Pelodiscus sinensis: one gene and its partner. The protein of the gene in region 2 interacts with the protein of the main gene of each other region in a pairwise test. Links are inferred from orthologs where the notes say so. Each region holds a gene or a part of one and is shown on either strand. Other genes may lie near its edges.

Region 1 (7,393 bases), on a different chromosome or scaffold from region 2:
AAAGTCTCCTGGTTCTCCCTGGGCGCTAGTCCAATCCTGTGCCTCTTTTTAAGGCGATCCTGCCACTTTACATCCAGCTGTCTGGTAGTTGTGAGGTGACCCAGGAAGGACGCTCACAAGACCCACAAAATTCATGTCACTCGTGACCTGCGGCCGTGTCGGTTTTGCAATATACAGGGTGACCCGTAGCTAACCCACGTTCCCTTAAGCTAATCTCCAGGGCGGTACCCCTGGAGGTTGCGTGTTAACTGACCAATTTGTAGTGCTGCCAGTCCTGGCTGAGATCTTATCTCTGGGCCAGCGACACTGCCGGAGCCCGACACATGCTCTGCTACACACTGAAATCTTGATGTTTTATCCAGAACCAGAAAGTCCACCTGCAGGTTTTCCCCCCTTGCTGTGTGGCCTCTTTGCCTCCCAGGAAGGTTAAGGGCTAGATCAGGGGTGGGGAACCTATTTTGAGCCTGGGGGGCTGCTGACCCACAGAAAAATCAGTTGGGGGCTGCATGTGTGAGAAAAAAAACCCTCACTGGTGTGGCCCTTGACGGGGAAGCAGAAAGACACGCCCCACATTCCCTTCGCACACCAGATTGTCAGGGCCCTGGGGTAGGGCTAAAAACGAGGGGTTCAGTGTATGGGAGGGGGCTGCCGGGAAGCAGGTTTGGGACACAGCTCCCCAGGGATGCACACGGTTCCGGGTCCCCCGCCGCTCCCAAGCACCGCCCCCTGCTGTTCCTATTGTCCAGGATGAGGGCCAATCAGAGCCCTGCAAGGAGGGGCGGGGCTGGAGCACCAGCCTGGGCTCCCCGACACCATCCAGTGGCTGGGTGCTGATCTGCAGTCCACTGGTGTAAACCCAGGGATTGCGGAACTCTGGATTGCCACGGGTGTGGCTGCAGCTTGGTCTAGACACAGATTACGTCTACACTGCAGATCACAGCCGTAGCTGACCTGCCTTGAACTTGGGAACGAGAACCCCATTCGCAGCAACGTGGTAGTCCAGTGGCCATCCAGGGCTTAGCGAGGTTTTCTCTGACTTCTCCCTTACTTCCTATGGAGCCAGTTCTCCCCCCTCCCCTCCGCTCTCCGCTGTTGCAGTTAAACCAAGAAGCACGTTTCCGGCTGCCCGGGGCCCCGCGAAAGTCGCCTGATTTTTGTCACCCCACGCAGACCCTTTACCAACCTGGAGCTAGCGCTATCCAAGCGACGGAGGTTTGACTCCAGCGCCATCCTGTCGGGGAAGGAATCTCGTTTCACGTGTGGTATCCCAGCCTACTGTATCCCTTCTTCCTACAGGCCGCTCGAGGTGACCCCCCCTCCAGCCAGAGCCCCCTCCTACACCCCAAAGATCCTCTCCTCTGCCCCACACGCCAGTCTCATTTTGTTGGGTCGCGGCATCCACCAATTTCTTCAGCAAGGTCATAGAATCATAGAACCATAGAGCTGGAAGAGACCTTAGAAGGTCATCAAGTCCAGCCCCCTGCCCTAGGGTCGTGAGAAAACACGTCCGATCTCCCTGCAGTGGAGCGTTAACCAGCCTCCTCTGATGCCGTCGTGTTAAAAAAACAACTGTCGTGCCAGCTTTCATGCCACCAGCATCCAGGAAATACCAGCGGGAAGGAAGACCCCCGCCCCATATGCCAGATTCACTAGACACAGGGGCATTGCATCGGTGGTGTAATACACTTCCCGAGAAGGGTTCTCCCGGCTGTGCTAGGAACTCCAACCCGCTCTCATGCCCGCTTGGCTGTGTATTGCCTGCCGCTTGTTGGCTGCTCTCCTGAGCAGCACCGGGGACTGTATGGAGCAGGGACAATTGGGCGCGAAGACATCCCAGGTGTATCCCCACCGCTAGAAGGAAGCACGATCTAGCCGTTGGAACGCCGTACCGCCTGTCGGGGCACCTGGATTCATTCCCAGCAGGAGGGAGTTGGGTTAGAACAAGGGTGTCTGGCAGCCAGAACTGCTGGGTTTTAGTTCCGCAACTAGAAGGCAGTATGGCCTAGAGGTTGGAACATGGCGCTGGGTGTCAGGACACCTGGGGTCATTAGGACCAGAGAAGAGCAACAAAGATGACGGAGGGTCTGGAAAACATGATGGATGAGGGAAGGCTGAAGGAATTGGATTTGTTTGGTTCAGAAAAGAGAAGATGGAGAGGGGACATGCTAGCGGTTTTCAAGTATCTAAAAGGGTGTTACAAGGGGGAGGGAGAAAAATTGTTCTCCTTGGCCTCTGAGGACAGGACAAGCAGCAATGGGCTTAAATTGCAGCAAGGAAGGTTTAGGTTGGACATTAGAAAAAGCTTCCTACCTGTTGGGGCAGTTAAACACTGGAATAAGTTGCCCAGGGAGGTTGTGGAATCCCCATCGCTGGAGATATCTAAGAGCAGGTTGGACAGACACTTGCTACTACTAGAAGGCAGTGTGGTCTAGTAGTTGGAACATGGCTTTGGGTAGCAGGACACCTGGGTTCTATTCCCAGCCTCGCGTCACTTTGCCTCAGTTTCCCTAATCACCCACCACTCCTGTTCATCCCCCCGTGTGGGTGGCCTCCTTACCCTGTTGATGGCCAGCTGTCCCCGGAGGCTCGGCGGGGTGAGTTCGTGCAGGAGCGCCGCCCCGGCGACCGCCCCCAGGAGCTGCGCCGCCACGTAGAAGACGGCCCTGAGGAAGGAGAGGTGGGAGCCCAGCAGGCACGCCACCGTCACGGCCGGGTTGAGGTGGGCCCCGCTGACGTGCCCCACGGCCTGCACCAGCGTGGCGACGGCCAGGCCGAAAGCCAGCGAGACCTGCAGGGCGTCCGGGGGGGCCGGCGGCCAGCTGAGGGCAGAGCCGAGGCCGAAGAAGATGAAGAGCAGCGTGGCCAGGAACTCTGCGAAGACAGCCCGGGCGAAGGCTGCAGAGCGGAGCTCCCACATCCTGGGGCGCGCTGGGAATGCCCCTAAGCGCTGCCGTGTGCGGCTCCCTGCAGGGTGCGGGGTGCGATCACGCTCCCTGTGTGTATATATAGGCAGAACATCTGCAGACGGAGGAGGGGCAGGGGCTTTGGAAACCTGATCCATTGCTCCCTCCAGTTCCAGCCGCGGCTGGCTTCAGACCCTGCCCCGACTGTTCACCCGCGACCGTGGCATTTGCCAATTTCAGGCGCTCCTGCACTCGCTGGGCAGCGTTGCCCTCGGCCCCACCCTCCCCCGGTGCCGTTCCTCTCTCCTCTTCGCCCCCACCGGCCTTTTCCGCAGGGAGGGGAGAAAACGGACGTGGCAGCATTTGGGGGGACGAGACGAGCCAGGCTGGGCAGGAGAGGTGTGGTGTCCCTGGCCTCTGTTTGTCCCAGGCTGGGAATGGGCGACGGGAGGGAAAGGAAAGACACGTAGTGAGGTGGCTGGGTCTGCGTCGGGATGGAGAGCGACACAGCGAGATGGAGGGAGGATCAGACCTGGCTCCAAACTCCAGAGTCTGCAGATGTTTCGCTTTCACGCTGGGCCATCCTGTTCAGAACCACGTCTAGATAAACACTTCAGACCAGCCAGACGGGGTCAGACCAAAGGTCCCTCCAGCCCAGCGTCCTGTCTGCCCACCGTGGCCAATGCCAGGTGCCCCAGAGGGAGGGAACAGAACCGGGAATCCTCATGTGATCCCTCCCCTGTCACCCATTCCCAGCCTCTGACAAACAGCCATCGATGGACCTATCCTCCATGAATCTATCTCACACTTTTTTGCACCTTGTTAAAGTTGCTCTTCACCACATCCTCTGGCGAGGAGTTCCACAGGTTGACGGTGTGCTACATGAAGAAAAACTTTGGTTTGTTTTAAGCTGCCTATTCATTTCATTGGGTGAGCCCTAGTTCTTATGGGAACAAGCAAATCACTTTTCCTTATTCGCTTTCTCCATAGCTGTCATGATCTTACAGACCCCCTTAGTCTCTGCTTTTCGACGCTGAACAGTCCCGGTCTTTTTAATCTCTCCTCATGCCTGGGCACAGCTGTGCCGGTGGGAGGCCAGGAGTGGAGCAGCGGGTTTGCGTGGGGGAGACGCATGGGTCAGGATCACACTGGCTCGGTTCCGTGTGTGGGAGCACGCGTGTGGGGGAGCCCTGTGTTCCGTGTGTGGGAGCACACAGCCCTGAGGACTGCGGGTCAGGCTTGTGGTGCACTGACGGTGGGGTGCAATAGCTCAAGTTCGTGTGATGGAGCCAGGGGAGCTGGCGCCAATAGTGGAGTGGAGGGCAGACATGCTGGGAGCTGGGTGAACGGCTTTCTAGTTCCGTGAATAAACTGCCAGAGACTGTGGCCATGTAATCAAGGCAGGCAGGCACCTGAGGTTAGTGGAGCAGCAGGCTGATCAGGCACCTGCAGCTGGTTGAGGCCTGTGGAGTTTCCTGGAAAGGTTTCCCCCAGGCGAGGGGGAAGGAGAAGAGGGAAGGACTGAGAGGAGGAAGCGCCTTGCTGGAGAGCCAGGGACTGCGAAAAGGATGGAGTGTTTGTGCTGAAGCAGGAAAGATTCGCTAGGTCCCAGGGAGAAGGTACTTTGGGCACGTGGGCTGCTGTCTTGGGGCTCGAGGAAAAACTCTGTTAGTGGCCGCTGCCTAGGGTCCCTGGGCGGGAACCGGAGTAGTGGGCAGGTCCGGTTCCCCCCAAGCCACTAAGAAAAGTCTGTTCCTGGAAAGGAAGGCCAGGGTTACGGGAGGGGGGAAGAGTTCCCCCAATCCTTTGACTTTGCCAGTGATGAGCTTGGCTCAGTAAGTTATAACCCTGGCCTCTAGAAGCCATAAGAGGCAGGCTGGTGGAGGTGACCGCGAGCCTCTGAGGCAAACAATAAGGGCATGTCCACACTTGCAGCCTAACTCGAACTAGGGCTGCAAATGTAGGCATGCGGAATTGCAAATCAAGCCCGGGATTTAAATATCCCGCCCTTGCTTTGCATCTTCCCGGCCGAGTGCCATTTTTGAAATGTACAAGCCCGAAGTAACTGCCCGCGTCTACATGCGGCAGTGAAACGGGCGTTCGAAATAAAGCCCTAATTCGAACTGCCAGTTAAACCTCATTGCAGGAGGAACCTCATTGCAGGAAGCAGTTACTTTGGGCTTGTAAATTTCAAAAAACGGCGCCCAGATGGGAAGATGCAAATCCGTCGTGGGATATTTAAATCCCGGACTTGATTTGCAATTCTGAATGCCTACTTTTGCAGCCCTAGTTCGAATTAGGCTGCAAGTGTAGACATACCCTAACCCCCTAGAAGCTCAGGGCCCTGGTTGCAATAGGGCAGGGCCTCTGGGTGGGGACTGAGATGTGTGGGCTACACTCGTCCTTTGAAGCTGCTTCCGTCGAACCAGAAAGACGTTGGAGAAGAAGGAGCAACTATGGTCCTAGACCTGCCATTGGTGACCATCTCGAGGCGTGTTCATACAGAGACGAGCAGACCTACCCAGTATTGCTCGGGGCCTTAATGAAGGTTCGTTGGTTGGTTTGTTTAATGTGAATGCTTTGTTGGAATGATTGTGTTTTTCCTAACTACAGTATTATTCTGATGAAGTTAATTATTATTTCAGACGTCTTTAGAAGGGGATTGTGAAAAGGTGCCCATTTAATTTATTGATTTTTAAAATGGGAATTCCATCAAGTACATTTTTTCCCTCATCCCTATAAAGTCCCATCCTGTGCCCCACTACAGGACACGCCCCACCCCACTTCTGCTCCACCCGCCCCTCTTCCCCCAAGCCCCACTCCGGCTGTGTTCCTTCCCTCCCCTGCTCTGCCCCCGTCCCATGGGATGCAAGCTGGAGGATTACCAGAAGTCGGGTGGCTGTAGGGGGTCACCCCACCCCCCAACTCACCCTGGCAATGGGAGCCGGAGCAGCCCCAGAGCCTGCCCCACCCTGCCGCCCTCCCAGCCCACTGGGTGCCTGACTCCAGCTTCTAGTGGGTCACCCTCTGCTCCTTTATATATTATTATATCTACTCTATATTTGCGAGACTTGGTCTGTGTGTCTGTCTGTCAACTGTACGAGGTAGGACCACCAATTTCGGCAGCATCATAACTTACAGCCAGGGCAGTGGCTGCTTGCGCCCGGACAATGGGATGTGCCTGGAATGGGATTGGCTTCCGTCCACTCCCCACAAATCGACGTAACTGAGCGAATGGTGAAGGAGGCTGGAAGACGATGTGATTGGAAACCACGATAACGATCGCCCATTTGTCATTAGAACCTAGCGAAGGACGACGTGGAGCCCCCAGCGCTGGAGCTATCTGAGAGCAGGTTGGATAGACACCTGTCAGGGACAATCTAGACCACGAGTTCCCAAACGGGGGGGGGGGCGTGCCCCTCGGGGGAGGGGCATGAAGAAATTCCAGGAGGCGCATGAGGCAACCCAGCCCCCCATCAATCTCCCCCTCTCCCCAAGTTTTGCTGCTATTTTTGTTTCTCGTCCCTCGTCAGTTCCTTTTTTCCCCCCTCAACAAGTTTTGCTGCTTTTTTTGCGGGGGGGAGGCATGAGGGTGTCTCAAAAATCCAAAAGGGGGCATGATACCGAAAAGTTTGGGAACCACTGGTCTAGACCATGCTTGGTCCTGCCGTGAGGACAGGGGACTGGACTTGATGACTCTTAAGGCCCCTTCAGTCCCAGTATTCAATGATTCAAGGTGTTTGTGCTGTGGATGAATCCGTATGGCTGGCAGAATACATGGCTCCAGATGCAATGGATCTAGACCATGGGTTCCCAAACGGGGGGGGCGTGCCTCCGGGTGGGAATGTGAAGAAATTCCAGGGGGGGCATGAGGTGACCCAGCCCTGCCCCCTCAATCAGGTTTTGCTGCCCTGTTCAGTTCCTTTTTTCCATTTTTTTTTTTGCTCAACGAGTTTTGCTGCTATTTGGGGGGGGGGGGGCGTGAGGATTTTTCAAAAATCAAAAAGCAGGGTGTGATGCCAAAAAGTTTGGGAACCGCTGCTCTAGACAGTCTTCTGGCCTCAGAGCTGGGAGGTGAGATAATGTAGGAACCAAACCAAACTCTCTTGAAAGTTTAGGAATCTATGGGCAGGCAGTGACTCTCACTTTCCTAATTTAACTCGAGAAGGGAGTAGACCGTCTTTTAAGCTTGAAGCTGTGTGTCCAGGACTTCCAGGTCCCATTCCCCGCATTGCGAGTCACGGTGTTCCATGCGTTATTAAGGACACGATGTCGCAACTTTCATCAATAAAACTTTAGGATGGCAGGTCGGTCTCATTGCTCGCCTTTTATAGATGGGGAAATTGAGGCACAGGCTTTCCCAAGATCAAGCCATGAGTCAGTGGACATGTCAGGAGTTGACACCAGGTTGCAAACCTCCCAGTTCAGTACACTGCCCCGCTGTACCATGCTGCCTGCCTCATGCTGGCCAGCTGGGTAATATGAAAACC
Region 2 (7,260 bases):
ACCCCAGGGCTGAGGGTTCCAGAATGAGGATCAGAAACAGGATTAAAAGGCTGTGTCAGCTCTGCTAATTATCAGCTTGATCTAAGAACTAGGTTCAAGTGAGCAACTCCTCTTTCTAGGATTCAGGGGGTAGTAATTAAACTTTTTACTCCAAGAGCTGCTCAGTAAGGGTACATCTACACAGCACTGTTATTTCTGAATAATTGATGTTATATCAAAATAACAAAGTGCGCATCTACACATAAGCAATTATTTTGACAATGTTGAATTAATGTCTAGTTGGAAGACTTCTTACTCCGACTCCTCTAAGGCTCATTTTACGAGGATTAAGGGAAGTCAGAGGAAGAGTGATCTATTTCAAAATAAGTGCTGTGTACATGCGCCCAAATTCAAAATAAGCTCTTTCGACTTAAACTATGCAATTAGCGTAGCTCAAGTTGCATATCTTATTTCGAGTTTAGCCCTGTTGTGTAGACATACCCTTAGAGACCAGTGATTAATCCACCATATGGGGCTACCTGTTATGATATTTCAAGGGAAGACTGTCTACCCCTACATCAAGAGGAACTCAAGGGGATTTCAAGAAGCAGCTATTGATAATGGCCAGAACTGCCCCATAAGAGGACTTAAGAGTAATAGCAGTGATAAGTGTACACTATGGGGAAAAAGGGACACCCTTCTCTGGCATTTCCCTTACATACGTCTTGTTGCGAATGTCAATAGCACAGGAGCAGCGAATCACTGACGACAGTAGAGTCCAGATGCCAAAAGTCCGAGCTTGGAGACCATTCACTGTGCAGAGAAGAAACAAATGAGGTAAATGAATGCTCCATCCCATGAGCTACCATCTCTACAGGCTCGACCAAGTGGTTGAGCGAAGGAAGAACATAAAATCTACTTCCAGGTAGAGAGTTACACCATATCAAGATTTCCTAGATGATTCAAGGGCAGATAAGTGTGTACGAAAATAGCTGCTAGGAATCGTGCTCCCCTTTCCAGTAACCACAGACCCTCAAGGGAGAAAAAGAACCAAGGCTGGTTCCAGTGCTTCACTAAATCAGAAGCATTGCTATGGATGCTGAATAGCACAGTAGAAGACAGTACAGTGTAGGGATGTTAGCTTTAGATTAACTGGCTAATTGAATTGTCGATGCAAATTGCATCGATGATTCGATTAGTTGATAAGGGAGCCTCCACCTTTGAAGTGTAGCAAAGCCCCAGGGAAAAGCGTTGCAGGGAGAAAGCGTTGCAGGGAGCACGGGGCCAGCGGGGGACTCAAAGCAGTCCCCCACTGGTCCCATGCTTCACACGTTTCAAAGTGGCAGTGCTGCACGGAGCCCAACCCTGGGCTCCATGCAGCAGTGCCGCTTTGAAATGCTGTGTGCAGCCCAGGCCAACTGGGGACTCCCCAGCTGGCATCTGACTGCATGCATTTCAAAGAGGCAGCGCCGCATGGAGCCCAGGGTCTGGTCCCGGGCTCCACGTGGCGCTGCCGCTTTGAAGCATCCCATCCTCTTTCCTCCACCTTGCTGCCTCTTTCTGATAGAGGCAGCAAGGGTGGGAGGAAGCAACTAGTCAACTAGTGTATTAACTAGTCGTTCACATCCTTAGTATAGCGGAGACAGGCAGGCGTGCTCCAGAGAAAACGAAGGTTGACTGCTGAAGAGGGTTGCCCTGGTGCGTTTGGGCTAGCATGTGGAATACAGGAAGTTAAGATTTGCACTGTGGCTCACTTCTGAGATGTGGACAAAAGTTCTTCAGGACTTGGGGCAATATGCTGATAAATGAGGAATAGCTACTATTGTAATGACTCTTGATGGGCAGGATGGGCAACTTGGGCTCCTTACCAAGGCTAGGTGTGCCTGTATACAGCTTCTCAGAGAGAAAACTGTGGTCACGAAAACTCTGCAATGTGTTCCCCATTGCGATGATGGACACCATGACTAGCCAGCTGCGCAACACGTTCAGAAAACGGCTCATCATGCTCTGGTACCTGCTTCTGGGGACAAAAGCAGGAGATCATCACAAAAGGAAACCACACGGATTCTACTCCCTAGAACTTTTCCACTTAAGCCAGGAACCCGGCTTTTCCACAGAAAGTCCCTTTCTCTTTCCATAAGTCCCCAGAGAGCAAGCAGTCCTCACCAGATAAAGCTTGCACTACACCCCTGATAATGCAAGAGTAGAAATCTGTATGTCCAGCAGCCTGGAACAACATGATGCTGCTGCCCCATCGTAGGGAGTTACTAATCTTCAGGGTCCTGGGCAGAACATGACGAAGTAGAAATCTTTGGTGCATCCTCTCCACCTTTCTCTCTCCCCCGATTGGAGACAACAGCTTACCACATCACTCACGTCTGCAAGACCGATCGTGTATCTAGCTCCCTGCATGGCAAAGCTGGGCACTGACACCCAAGTTAATGCAACCTACTTGTTAATGCCAGTGGAGAGATTTACACTCCCTGCCCCGCTGTCCCGGGGCTGAAGTCCACTCCGTTTCCTCCGGTCCCACCCCCTCCGTGCCCCACATCTCCCGCACAAGTCCCCCAACCCGTCTTCGCGCCGATTCCCTCCCGCCCTCGACTGACATCACCATTTTATCGCCCTTCCCCAACAGAGAACATTTTATCGCCCTTCCCCGAGCCCCTCCAGCCTTCCCACTATCTTCCCTGAGCCCTGCACCGCATCCTCCGACCAGTCCTCACCCCGCTGCACATCTGCTCCCAGCCCTTCAGCTCCAGCCGCTCCCCTGTGCCCACCCGCTATGCAGCAGCAGCCCCACCCCTTACTGGTTTGCGTACTGGTTGGTTCCATGTTAGCCCTGTCCCTACTTAGATTGGCTGTTAGACCCATCACTACTCACACGCCATATAGATTGATAGGTCACTACACGAGTCTCTATATTACCATAAGGCGCCTCCGCTCCTGAGGCGCGGTGACGTAAAAATGGGCCTTGTGCGTGCTTTTGGGGGGAGGCGGAAGTTGCAAGTGGCGCGGGCAAGGCGTGCAGCGCGGTGTTTGCGCCTGCGTGTTAGGAGGAGGGGATGCCTCTGGCGCCTGCGCAGAAGGGAATTGGAGGCGGTTGCCTGCCTGTTGGTTGTTGTAGTAACGGGGAAGCGTCGGGAGGAGGGAGCAGTGGCCGGTGGGGCTGCGTTGCCCGGAGCCCATCCCATGCCCCCAGGAAGGTGAGGCTGTAGGCAGGGGGAAGGCGGGAGCGCATGGCGCGGCCCCAGGGGCTGCCAGCTACGGCGGGGGAAGCTGCGGGTGCCGCCCGCCAGCGCGGCGGGAACGTGGCGTCCCGGGCTCGCTAGCCCCGAGGCGGCCGCGTTCGGCGGGGCCTGTGGCTTGCGGCTGTGGGGCCAGGTGTCTCCCTGGAGCCCGGCCCGGCCCCCCAGTAGGAGCGGACGGCGCGGGGTGGGGCGCTGCCGTGGGAAGCAGCCCCCCTGCCCCGAGGCGTCACGGGGGTGCTGGGCCCTCCGCAGGTCCCTTCTGGCTGCGCTAGTAGAGCGAGTCGGAGGCTCCTGCGTGGGCAACGACCAGAGGGCCTGGGTCGGCGCCAGACCGTGTGGCGGTGAAACCTGAAGAGATCATCGGAGCCTCCTGTCTGACCCCCGTGTGGAGCACCATCGCGTGTGTTTGACTAAAGCATAGCCCTATTAGGAAAGCCTTTGAGGAAGAAATGCAGAAGCAGGCAGACCTTTTCCAGCTAGCCTCTGAGTCCCGTGCACAGGAAAGTAACTTTCTTTTCTGGGAAGCTGATCAGAAATCTATCCTGGGACTCCCTGCACAGGAGCAGTTTAGACCGAGAGGGGTCTCGCAGGAGATTGTTCATAAGGGCTGAGGGCCCCAAAGAAGTATCACTGTGAGTGAAAAGTTACTTAACTAGACAGGGCACTGTATCAAAGAGGGGTAGCCATGTTAGTCTGAATCTGCAAAAGCGAGGAAAGCTTATGCTCCAATAAATCTGTTAGTCTGTAAGGTGCCACAGGACTCCTTGTTGCTGTGTAGTTAAGTGTCTTGGACTAGTGATGGTTCAGAGGAAAGTACAAAAGCTGACTGTTATGGAAGTTTTTTCCTGGTCCAAATAGTTTAGTTTATACCCTGTAGTAGCAGGATAAATGTCCCATGTAGATTTGTGTACTGTACTGGAAACAGTTGAGGTAGTGCTGTGGCCTCCTCTCTTTATGCTGAGTTGGCATATGTCTCTAGGCTATTCTGCACAGTAATATACTCATATTCCTGATGTTTATTACAGGAAGCTGCATTGGCTAGATCCACTGATCCTCTGTGAAAGGGACTAAGAACCACAGTGACTGGACTGCATGAAAATTCCTATATGAGATGCCAGTTGGGATGGCTCGAGACTTGGAGGAAACTGGCTCATCCACAGAGGAGGAAGAAGTGGAAGAAGAGCCAGAGTAAGTAAAAACATATACAATGCCTGAATAGTAGCTGTGCTTCACCTGGGATGTATGGGGTCTTTAGAGGATATTTACTAATCTGGTATGACCATTTCATTCCTCACCTGTAATCCTTCAGGTCTGTTTGCTGAGGAAGGAAATAGATGGGGTGGGTTTGGGGCTTTTAATCATAAACAAGTATGTTGGTAGGTACAGAAATCTTTGCTTTGAGGAGTCTAAAAGAACCCCACTTTCCTTCAGAGAGGGAGCCTCTGGGATTAGGGCTGATAGGAAGAGGGTGAGGCCTCATCTGCTGATTTTTCTCACTCTCCTCACTTCCTGGTGTCTTCCTTATTATTACTACATTCTTTCACAACTCCCTGACATCCCTTTTTCAGCTAGGGTGGATTCTCTTGAGTACCATCCAGGGAAATGTGTAGCTCCTAGTTCTACTGTCTGCATTTGTTTCCATTTTTGCATATAGAAACATAAGGTATTGCAGAGCAGCCTGCTATCATGTAGGTCATTTGGACTCTCTTATCCCTCATGTTCTATTTAAGGTTAATAGGAGATATGTTAGTCCACTCATCTAGGAGTTCCTGTCAGTCCTATCTCCCTGCTTTGTGTGGCACCTCCTTCCATCTCTATTGCTCTAGTGTCCATTTCCAGAATGGTGTCCTACTCCTGCATTAGCAAAGTCTGCTTTAACAAGCTAGGTTTTTCTGTTTCTCAAAGACGACTCTCAGCATAGTTTACCATGAAAAGGGCCCCTACTTAATGCTCCCAATAAAACTGAGTTGTCCACGTGTTCTCAGACATCCCAGGGAAGGGATAGGAGGGCCTGGGTTGGCGTCATTCAGTCAGATGGCAGTTTGGTACTGTGTCTGCATCAAGTAACCAACGTCATGCTAGGGATGAATCTGGACAGTTGCTTGGAGGATAGTATGAGTCCTGGTGGCCTCAGTGCAAATCCTCAGAGCAGAGCTTAACCTAAAGCCCCTTTTCTGCTGTCTCGGCTCTGTTCCCACTTACGTAAGTAAGGTGCTAGCTTGTGCTAAGACTTGATGCTGCTGTACACTGGCAATGGGTGAGCAACTGAATTCATCTAAGGGTGTGTGGGAGGATTCTGGGGCCAGATAAAGAGCTCAGGCCTGAGTGGTCTGGTCTGAGGAGGGGGGAAGAAGAAAGATTGGGCTTGCCTTTATTTAGGGATAGTAAATATTTGTTGAATGTTCACATTTGATCTGATGCACTGGATGGTCCACAGGGAAAAATGATCTCTGCTATCCAATGTGGAGAGTAGACCTACTTACATTTACTTCTTTATCTCAGCCTTGAGAAGGTGCCCACACAGGAATCTTCTTTGTGCACCTCTGTCTAGAAATGTGGGGAAGTGGGTATACAGATATTTATCTCTGCATTAGGGATGTAATGGTGTAGTAAATTAACCAATAAGCAAAAGCGTATAGGTTAATGCTATACACTATACGCATTTCCCCCTGCCAGTATATTTTATAGCAGGCTGGCCAGCAGCCCGGCTCAGTCCTGGCTCATGCCATGTCTGGGACCGACCCCTGCTACAACTCTGCATTTAAAGTGTATTAGGAGCCAGCTGGCTCAGTTCTGGCTCGTGCTGTGTCCGGGAGCTCAGCCCTCCTCTCTGCGCTCCCCCCCACCCCCCGCACCCCTGGACAGAGTATGACGCAGTAGTGTGGGGTGGTGGCAGGCAGCCAGTCTGAGGGGAGAGCTATTTTTTTAACTGGCTCCCCTCATGGACCAGCTCCCGCCAGGCACCCCGTGCTGCTGCCTCATGGAATGGCAGGGGGCTCCTCGGGAGCGGAGTTGAAGTGCACTGGCTGCCGGCCCCACCCCTGGGGACCATAGAATAGTTGAGTAACCAATAAGAATTCATGAGGTTAACTGACTAATCCGTTAACCAATATTTAACAAATATGCAATGGTACAGATAAGCATGTTACTGAATGACTTTTTAAAGTACTTATCACTAGTGTGAAGTGCTAGCCAATTTTAATACTGGGTTGATAGGCAGTTGAAGGAGGGACCGTTGAACCCAGAAATCGGATTCAAAGACTGAAAAATCAGGGATGGGGCAACATGTACAGGTCACAGGGATCTGGCTGATGCACAAGCAGAGAATTGTGTATAATGCCCTCTGCTCCAAGAAGTTGCCCCGGTGACTGAATCTTTTGTGTGTCACCCATAGTTTGCCTTCCCTTGCCCAGGAGAGAATCAGATTGCCTGGTTCTTTCAATTATTGGCCTTTCTCCTGAGATTGTGAAGTTGGAGAGGAGCAGTTGTGCTGGTGGCTTTGTGATGCGGACACCTGTTCAGTGGGAATTGCATTTGAAGCCATTGATTTATTTTATATTGGCTGAACCAATGTTCTGTTGAGGTTAGACACAAACTTTTGAGCTTACACAGTGCTCTGCCTCATGTCAGACCTGAAGAAGATGTGTGTAAGTTCAAAAGCATATCTTTCTTCAATAGAAGTCTGTCCAATAAAAGATACTACCTCACTCATCTTTTAATATCCTGTAACCAACACAGCTACAGTAACACTTCATATTGGCCGAACAGATCTTTGGAGCCCACTATCAATGTATGTACGATTTAAATCAAGAATTGAAGGTGAGAGGCTCTGTATCCTATCCCTATTTGTGGAGTCATCTCGTACTCTGGAATGAGTTTGATGGTGACCAAGGGTAGACACTTCCAGGGGTAAGGCTTCATTAGGAAGTTTAAATATTTCTCCTTGACACACAACCTGTGGATGCAGGCTTAGCAAACTAACCAATATCTGCTGCAGCTTTCTCAGCTCATACCCTGGTCTTCAGCCTCA

What was found.
Region 1: the proteins of ERG28 (region 2) and aquaporin-2 interact in binary tests that used the Homo sapiens proteins (3 or more experiments, as listed by UniProt). The link is inferred for Pelodiscus sinensis from reciprocal best matches to the Homo sapiens genes ERG28 and AQP2.

Annotation. Positions count from the first base shown.
Region 1 is NC_134729.1:1,739,823-1,747,215, reverse strand, and holds the start of aquaporin-2, read right to left. Parts: upstream 3,009-7,393; 5' UTR 2,918-3,008; coding exon 2,558-2,917; intron 1-2,557. UniProt on the Homo sapiens protein: Forms a water-specific channel that provides the plasma membranes of renal collecting duct with high permeability to water, thereby permitting water to move in the direction of an osmotic gradient. Plays an essential role in renal water homeostasis.
Region 2 is NC_134714.1:43,679,256-43,686,515, reverse strand, and holds the start of ERG28 (ergosterol biosynthetic protein 28 homolog), read right to left. Parts: upstream 3,014-7,260; 5' UTR 2,908-3,013; exon of another isoform or gene 2,518-2,907; intron 2,281-2,517; exon of another isoform or gene 2,146-2,280; intron 2,000-2,145; exon of another isoform or gene 1,997-1,999; 5' UTR 1,984-1,996; coding exon 1,848-1,983; intron 793-1,847; coding exon 702-792; intron 1-701. Other genes in the region: tubulin polyglutamylase TTLL5, read left to right, coding at 4,342-4,418.